2 linked regions of the Mus musculus genome follow. The protein of the gene in region 2 purifies or fractionates together with the protein of the main gene of each other region. This does not show direct contact. Links are inferred from orthologs where the notes say so. Each region holds a gene or a part of one and is shown on either strand. Other genes may lie near its edges.

Region 1 (4,540 bases), on a different chromosome or scaffold from region 2:
ACTTGGTAGCCAAGATCACAACACAGAAGAAAAGCCCAGACCTGAGAAGACAGCTCAGCTGGGAAAGTGTGTGCTATCAAGCGGGACACACACCCAGTACTCAGGTAAAGAGCCAGTCACAGAGGTTTATCAATCAGTGAGACCCAAGTTCCAGTGAGAGACCTTGTCTCAAAGAACAAGGTAGATGGTTCTTGAGAAGCACTTCCCCGGGTTGACCTTTAATTTCCATATGCACATGACGACTCCTGAGGAAAACCACTGAAGGCTGACCTCTGACCTTTACATGCACAGGCATGCACACATATGAACATACAAAAAGGAAAAAAAAAAAACCCAAACCATGTAACAACAGCTCCAGAATTCCCAGGCCAGATCAAAGGCCATGACACACAACTGTCCTCAAAGCTCTGCCACCACTACCCCAGACCTGGGCTGCATGTACCAAATGCTTCCCACCGAACGATATAAGAGAAGAGAGGACTCAGCACAGAGAGGCTATGTAAGCCTCCCAAAGACAAACAGCAACTGGACATGAAAACCCTATAGAGCTGGGTGGTGGTAGCCCATGCCTTTAATCCATCACTCAGGAAGCACAGGCAGGTGGATCTTTGTGTTGGAGGCCAGCCTGGTCTACAAAGGGAGTTCCAAGACAACTAGAGCTACACAGAGAAACTATGCCTCAAAAACAAAACAAAACACCTTGGTCAGATGATCACCTCCTGCTCCAACCCTGGGGCACCCACTTGCAAAGCAGGTGACAGAGTCCTCACCTGGCTGTACCCCACCCCCACACCCCTGTGCAAATTCTGCTAGATGCCTGAGTAATGACACTGTGTAGTCAAAATAAAAAGGGTTCCAACTATGTTGGGGCCAGGAGGTGGCTTTCCCCAGAGAAGCTTAGGACAAACAGGTTGCCTGGGTAATTTCTTGCACAGAGGGGACTCTGCTCAGCATTTAACCCAATATAACCCAACATGTGCTGGCTGGGCCCTCCCAGGGGTAGACAGCCCACAACTGCAGGAACCTCCTCCAGGGGGCCAGACAGGCTAGGCTGGTCCAGGGACAAGTGAGTGCTTTAGGCGGTGAGAAGGAAAGCCTAGGGCTTCCAGAATGGGGAATTCAGGGACCACTAGAACAAAGGCTTTTCTGTGGGCTCACAGCTTCAATTTGCAACAGGAAGCAATCAGGAAAAATAATTAGCTGCCCACTCACTCCCTTCTCTCCAGACTCCCAAAGCAAGAATCTCAGACAGACATTTGGGGGTCGCACAGCCAAAAACACTCAAATAAGAGCTTCAGGAAGATTCTTCTCTTTGCTTCCATTTTAGGCCTGGACTACCCCATCAGCTGGTACTCCTGGGGCCTGGCTTCCTAATGTTAAAATAATCGACTCTATTTTTGCCGCACACACCACCAAACTATAAAGATGTTCAATTTGGGATACCAGATGACAGGCTAGGGGATCCCAGAGTAATGTCAATCCTACCTAGGACAGGAAAGTCGGCTTACAAACCCCACCTTTAAAACAAATAGCTGCCCCATACCCCTTCTGCAGTCACGACCCAGGCATTTCCGGGAAGAGTAGAACTGGCCTGGACTTCCCACAGCCTGTCACAGTTTTGTCTTCGCCTTGTTTTGCTAACACCAGAGATGGCCTGAAAATGTAAACATGATCCCGAGGGAGACAAATTTAGGGGGAGACTCCCCAAGAGCCCTCTGGCTGAGCTTGAGAGCTCCAAGACTGGATGAAGCCAGCTCCCCTCGACCCCTCCCCCCAAACATAGGTGGAAGAGACTGCAGCCCAGGGAATCTGAGCACAGAGCCAGGCCCAGCCACCTCCCTCAAGTGTCTACCCTGGAAATACACAGGGGGACAGCTGTTCGCCTTAATAAGGCCCAGACAAAGGGACCTGAGGTTGTCCCCTACCCCGCCCCAAACTGCCATCACCACCACCCGGGAGTTCAAGAGTATCTGCCGGACCCTTGGACAGCCACACTCCAGAAAAACAAAACACAAACACCCGAAAACAATGATTTAGGTGGCAAGAGCCTTGCTTTAAAAACCACATGGCAATCTCCGAATTAAAAGAACATGTGTAGCGTTTCCAACTGCTTCGTTTCTCGAGAGTCCTCCTGACCTCAGCTCCACCCCTCAGGACACACCAAAAAAAAGTTAGAAAGTTCCCGAGCGGGCCACTTCCCTAAAGGTGGGTCCAACTGAGGCAGAACCATACCTCCCCACACCAAGGCACCCACGCAACCGATCTCGGGGCTGGGCACTGGTCAGCGGGGCTGGGTGCCTGGCCACCGCTTGGGGGCCCGAGCGGTCAGATGGGTCACTGGGGTCACGGGGACACCTGGCAGGTGTCAGTCGGTTTGGAAGGCTGACAGCCCACGCAGGTCAAAGCGACAGCAGCCCAGGGCCAGGCCGCCCCGCGCAGGGCTCTCCGAACTTCCTAGCTAGCAACTTCTGGCACTTCCCAGGGCTCGGTAGGCCGGCCGCCGCAAGCAGGCTCGCGAAAAGTTTTCCCAGTAGTTCGCGATAGGCCAGGCCTGTCCCGGGCCATCGCGATGCCCGTGGGCGCACTCCTGAGCGCGCCCGGCGTCCCGAGCCTTGGGCAGGTGAGGGCCCGCCCGCGCCGCACCTGGCGGGCTCGGTCCCCAGGGAGGGGCCCCGGCGGGAGAGACAAAGGGCCCGCGCGAGGTCCCCCGGCGCGTGGTCCCCCGGAGCGCGCTCCAACTCGTCCGCAACTTGCAAAGTGGCTGCTTGCGGCCCCGGCCATTGTCCCCCGCGCCCACCTTACCCGCGGCGGGGACCAAGCTGCAGTACAGCACCAGCAGCAGCAGCGGCGGCGGCGGCGGCGGAGGGGCCCGGGTCGGCGCCGTTTCCATGTCGTCCGGCGGCCGGGAGCGCCGCGCGCTCACTCGGGCTCCATGGCGCGCGCGGCGGCGGTGGATCCTCGCGGCTCCCGGCGCCTCTTGCTCCCGCCTCGGGCGCCGCGGCCCAAGACGACGCGGGAGGAGGGAGCGGAAGCCGAGCCGGTCTCCGCCCCCCGCGCCGCCCGCGCCCCCCGCCAAGCCGCGCCCTCCTGCGGGCGCCCGGGAGCCGGGCAGGCGGGTCTCTCCGGGCCCGCGACAGGAGAGGCCGGGCAAGCAGGTGGGTCACCTGCCAAGTCTCTGTACTGACAGGTGAGGAAACTGAGGCACGTGGAAGCATGACCCACACAGTCAGGAGGCCTCAGGGCTGGAAGCCAAAGGTCTCCGAAGCCAGCTTTGGGCTCTTTCACCACAACTGTAGCCACCTGGCCCAGAGACATACCGCCCCACTTGGGATGCACGCGGGAACAGGCGCAAAAGCGGATACTGCTGGAGGAACTGGGGGCTTTTACTTTTAGATTTACTTTTTGTTGTATGTGTATGAGTGTTTGCACGCATGTATGTGCACCACATGCGGGAAGGAAACCAGAATAGGGTGTGGGGGTCCCCTGGGACTGGAGTTAGAGGTGTGAGCCACCAGGTGACTGCAGGGAACCAAACCCAGGTCTCTAAAAGAGCAGTAAGTGCTTCTAACTGCTGAGCCTTCTCTCTCCGGCAGTGCTTTCTAGAACCTCACACCTTGGGCAGGCAGGTGTAGGTGAAATCATTTCATGTCCTTAGAAAGTAAGCTAATGGCAGTGTCCACCTTGCAAGGTAGAGAGGAAGGACAGAAGCTGAGGTGGTCAGGAGGGTGCCTCTGCCCTCCTGTGGTTTATGCTAGGAAGAGACAAAAATAAGAGCCCAAACAAAGGAGTGAGTAGCCGGGAAAGTGACATGGCGCTCAAGTGTGTATGACTTTACTTATAAGTCTGACATGGTGTCCAGCCTCGGGAGATTGAGGCAGGAGGCTTGCCATGAGTTTGAGGCCAGCCTGGGCTACCTGCGAGACCCTGTTTAAAAAGAGTTGATAGAGCCCTTGGTTCCCTAGTGTGCACAGCTCTCCCAGCGCTGCATAAACCGGACCTGATAAACAGAAGGAGCAAAAGGCAGGTCAAGGCTGGCCAGCAAGATGGCTCCCGTTGACCTAAGTTCAACCCTAGGATCGCAGAAGAAAAGAGAACTGACTCCCCAAACTTGTCTTCTAATAGGAAAACATGAAGACCAGGGACCAGCTAGTAGGGGGAGGGGACCCACACCAGGGTTCCAAGGGTCAGGGCAGAGATTTCAATGCGGAAGCAGGCCAGTGGTTCAGGAAGAGCAGTCTCCTGGGGTGGCTGTATCCAGTCTCTGACCGGAAGAGGAGTCAGGAGGTCTCAGGGGCAGTCAGGGGACTGGGGACTAGAGCAGCTAGTGTCCTTGCTGGTTCCTTCTCACCCAAGCCCAACCCCCATCCCCCCTCCACCTTCAACACAGAGCCAAGAGCACAACCCCCTTCTCTAGCCCCACTCTCACCCATCCCCCAAGGCCTTCCTCTTTCAGCCTTGATTTTTCTGAGGCCTCCTCTCCCTGCAGCCAGGGAGCTTGTTAAATAAGCCAGACCTCACCACTCCTCCCACCGGTCAGAGA
Region 2 (4,270 bases):
GAGGCCACCAGACGCACCTTGCGCGAGCGCGGCGCCGCGCCCCCGGGGCACAGCAGCTGCACCCGCTGCGCGCGGTAGCGATCCGGGATGCAGCGGAAATCCGGTCCGTTCGGGCGCCACCACTTCACGCGCCCGATGGCGTTGGGCAGCAGCCGCGCGGGGCCGCACTGGCCGGAGCACACCAACTCGGTGACCGGCTTGGCGCTGCGGCATGGGCCGTCTGTCAGGAAGCGGGTGTAGTGCAGCTCGCGGCAGCTGTACTCGGACACATCTGCGGAGAGAGGGATGCGTGAGGGGCTGCAGCCTAGGCCAGACTGGTCTGCTCCTTCCACCCTTCTCTCTTTTTCCAAACCTGCCCTGCGCTTTCGAATCTGTATGGATTATAGGAAGGAGGCACCGGGGAGCAGTGAGATCCCACCCTGGCTTCTCTCTCCCTGTCCTTGGAACCCAGGGATGAAACACTGGAGCTCTGTCACTTACTTTCTTTGTGATCTGTGGGCAGGGTACTTAAAGTTGCTTTTCCCCACATCTGTAAAATAGGTTGCCCCAGGATTCAACGACTTCATCCACTATTACATCGGGCACTACGTGGCACAGAATCAGAATTGGCAGCTTTTGAGATTGGGTTTTTATGTAGCCCAGGCTGGCCTCAAACTGGCTGTGTAGTTAAGGATGGATGGTCTTGAACTTCTCAGCGCCCATCTCCACTTCTCCGGTACTAGGGATCCCACCCAAGGCTTTGTGCCTACTAACCAAACACTCTTCCAGTTTAGCTCCTCATCCCCAGCCCTGCCTGGTAGCCTCTAGCCACACCTGGCTCTGGTCCTTCCTAAGCTCCTTTACCAGCCACTGGGACAGGGGCGGTATCCCAGGAGATGGAGAAAGGAGTGGAGGTTAATTGAAGGTAATAAATCAGGACAGCTGCTGTGGAGGAGCGGGGTAGAAGGGCAGGTGGTAGGGATAAGAATTCATTAGACTTGAAAGCGACCAAAGGCGGCGCGTCCAACCCCCTCATTATCACAGGTCCAGGCTGAGAAAAGAACTTGCCCCAAAGGCAGGGCTGGGCTGCTTGCGGGGGGGGGGCGGGGGGGGCTACCTAGGATGCCAGGGCTCTCTGGCTCCCGCAAGGGTGAAAGTGATCTGTTATAGGACCCCAGGTGGGGGCGGGGCGGTGGCGAGTAGAGGGCCTTTCGCTCTTCACTCGCGACTTGGGTCGGAGTTCTGACCCAAAACCTATAGCTTTTGCTACCACAAGCATTTGTTTAGCACCTGCTGTATACCAGACTCTCTTGTTCTGTGTACCTTGAGCTGGTTACTCAAGGGTGGCTGGATCTGACTTAGAGTCTGTTCTCCGGGGAAGGAGATTGGGTTGGATGCCCAGCCATATCTTCTAGGTCTGATGCCTGCCCTCCTCTCTTGGACATGCTCTATCTCCTACCATGAGCTTAGATGGATGGGAGGCTTTTAACTAATCCATGTGTGGGTCCTGTCTACCTCCAAAAGTTCCATGGTGTCAGGATCAATATGACATAAAAGGAAAAAAAAAATCCCAGTACCAAAGCCAGAGGGGCAGAGGCCAGGATGCACCTTCACGGGGGGGGGGGGGGCACAACAGGGGGGAGGTGTAGGCCTTGCCACCCTTCTGTGGCTGGCTTAATTTACTCACCCCTGCAGAGGTGGTATGTGGGGGAGGCCTGTTTGCCCAGGGAAGGACTAGTTTTGGGGCTTTCCAAGAATAGTGCCCTTAGGTCAAGCACTTCCTCTGCAAAAACGTGACTGCATTGCATGCTCCTTTGGGGTGGCCCTTTCCTCCACATCCCTTACTGGCTAGGAGACAGGAGGGACAGCATGTGGTGGCAAGCTGGAAAATGAGCTCTCCTCCCACACAAATGGTGACCAGCAAGGTCATTTCTCTGGAGTGTCCCTCCAGCTGCCACCCCACCCCATTCATTGCTGCTAGTTCCGTGCGTGATACCCCCACCCCCACCCCAGGCATCTCTCTGTGCTGGCTCTGCCTCCACAGTTTCTGCTGTCCTCAGGAATGAGGCAAAGCTGGGGTCAGGGTGCAAGCTCAGGGCAAGTGGTGCCACCTGTGCTCATACAGGGGACATTTCACTCAGCTGCCCCTCATGTCACATGCCACCTACAAACCCTGTTCTTTTAATGCTAACCCTCTGGGCTCATTGAGCAGACCCTGGGCAAGGGGGAACTAAAGGGATTCCTCCTGGCTTCAGGTTCCCACCCAAACCCAATCTAGGGTTGCCTTGCATCTGGATCAAACCAGCTTCCAGTCTCAGCTCTTCTTACTCCCAGGTGACTTTATCTCAGGAGCCTCTCGGTTTCTCCATCTTCAAGCTGGGGCCTTCTTTACCTCATGTGGTGGTCATGTGGGATATAGTACAGCCATGGATGGCATCTGGCATCCAGCCTCACCATATCACTTCCCCACTGGTCAGCAGCTAGATCTGACCTGTGTCCTCATCCTTAGGAGGAGATTCTCTGGACCATCATACAAGCCCATGCCCGTGTTAATGCCAGCTTCGGCTGACCTCAGCCTCCACCCTGCCTTGGGTGCTCTCTACCAGCCCCCCAATGCTGCCCTCCAGGTTCTAATGCTGTGCTAGTATTCTTCCAGGCAAATGTGTCCCTGCCCTGATGTAGCAGAGGCTAGCCACCCACACAAACCTCTGAAGAAGATGCTAAAACCACCCCAGTCACCTCCCAGGACCCCCCCCCCCACTAATGTGCTTCTTCATCCCGTACCTTTGGCGTCATAGGGATGGTGGGGAGGTCTGCCTCCATTCTCCGCCCGGTTCATGGTCTGGTTGTTCTCAGGAGGAGGCTCGGGGTACTCTCCAAGCCCTGGGATGACCTCTGTGGCATCATTCCTGAAGGCTTGCCACCCCTGGCCCTCCACAGCACAGAAGGCAGCGTGCACAAGTAGGCAGATGAGGCACGGGGCTAGTGAGGGCTGCATGCTGCCAGGTGGAGGAGGGCACTCGGTAGCACAGGCTCCAGTGTCCAGCCTAGATACGGTTGCCTTTTTAAAGCCCCCTCTGCCTCATGCCAGCCAATAAGGACGGGCTGGAGCAGGGCTGGTCCCATGTTTCCTCACCCTCCTCCTCACGGGGGTGGGGTGGGGGGGGTGGAGAAGGGGTGTGCTTAGCGTCAGCCCTCCCAAGACTTCTCAAGCTCAGTAAACTTCCAAATTGCTGCTGGCACCTCCCAGGTGACCCGAGGAGTGTGTGTTGGGGGGGGGGGCGTTGGTGAGGCAGGGACACAGCCAGCTCTCCCAGTACCTCCCACGGGCAGGGCAGTCAGGCTGTGGTTTTCAGATATCAAAATGAGCTTGGCTTTTAATTGTCTGGCTCCCTGGGCCCCTCAGGCATTCTCAAAACAAACTGTGGGCCAGCTTAACAAAGGAAACAAGTGGGGCTTCTACAGAAGGCGGAATCCAGCTTGACCAAATTCCTCTAGCCAAGGTCATTTGTTACCCCTGCCAGCTAATGGTCTTAGTTAAAGGTGTTTGCTCCCCCCACCCACCCAGAGGCAGAAGGATGCCTTTTTGGGGGGTTGGGGGCAGATTCTGGGGACTCTAACCTAGGGTCTCACGCTTGCTGTGCAAGCACCCTACTATTGAAGTATGACCCAGCCCTGGGAAGGATGCCTTTAAAGGAATCCCATTGACCCCAGCTCCACATTGCTCAGCACCTACAATTCTGACCAAGGAGATCTCTCTTGAATTTCTCTTCAAAACCAGTGGGAGAGGCAACCACCAGGCAAGAGGGACCTGGGCTCCATTACATGTGATTCTTAGCCAGGGAACTCATGGTGACTTATAGGCTGGTGTGCCAAAGGCAGTTCCTTCCCTGGCCAGGCTTCTTGCGGCCAACACAGAATTTCATTTCTTAGCAAAAAATCATTTCCCTCATTATTTCTTAGCTTATTACATTACCCCCCCCCCCGTGTGTCTGTGTGGGTGCATGGGAGACCTGAGGAGGTGTCTTTCTCAGTCATTCTCCCAAGTTATTCCCTGAGACAGGATCTCTGACTGAGACATTTAGGTTAGGCTGGCTAGCTGGCCAGTAAGCCCCCAGAATCCACCTGCCTTTCCCCTCAACTCTGAGGTTAGAAGGTTATTTTTCCACATGGTTGCTGGGGATTCGAACTCATGTCTTCATGCTTGTACAGCAAGCACTCTTACCATATCATCTCCCCAGCCTCTTATGGTATCACAAACAGCTCTGGGTCCTAGATGTAAGATCCAAGG

Evidence for each region.
Region 1: the proteins of Sost (region 2) and Lrp5 purify together in Homo sapiens (affinity purification with mass spectrometry; 3 studies listed by BioGRID and IntAct, counting the BioPlex papers as one, with this or other methods). This does not show direct contact. The link is inferred for Mus musculus from reciprocal best matches to the Homo sapiens genes SOST and LRP5.

Annotation. Positions count from the first base shown.
Region 1 is NC_000085.6:3,683,553-3,688,092, forward strand, and holds the start of Lrp5 (low-density lipoprotein receptor-related protein 5 precursor), read right to left. Parts: upstream 3,013-4,540; 5' UTR 2,891-3,012; coding exon 2,803-2,890; intron 1-2,802. UniProt on the Homo sapiens protein: Acts as a coreceptor with members of the frizzled family of seven-transmembrane spanning receptors to transduce signal by Wnt proteins.
Region 2 is NC_000077.6:101,963,997-101,968,266, forward strand, and holds the start of Sost (sclerostin precursor), read right to left. Parts: upstream 3,020-4,270; 5' UTR 2,978-3,019; coding exon 2,764-2,977; intron 606-2,763; exon of another isoform or gene 530-605; coding exon of another isoform or gene 481-529; intron 272-480; coding exon 1-271. UniProt on the Homo sapiens protein: Negative regulator of bone growth that acts through inhibition of Wnt signaling and bone formation.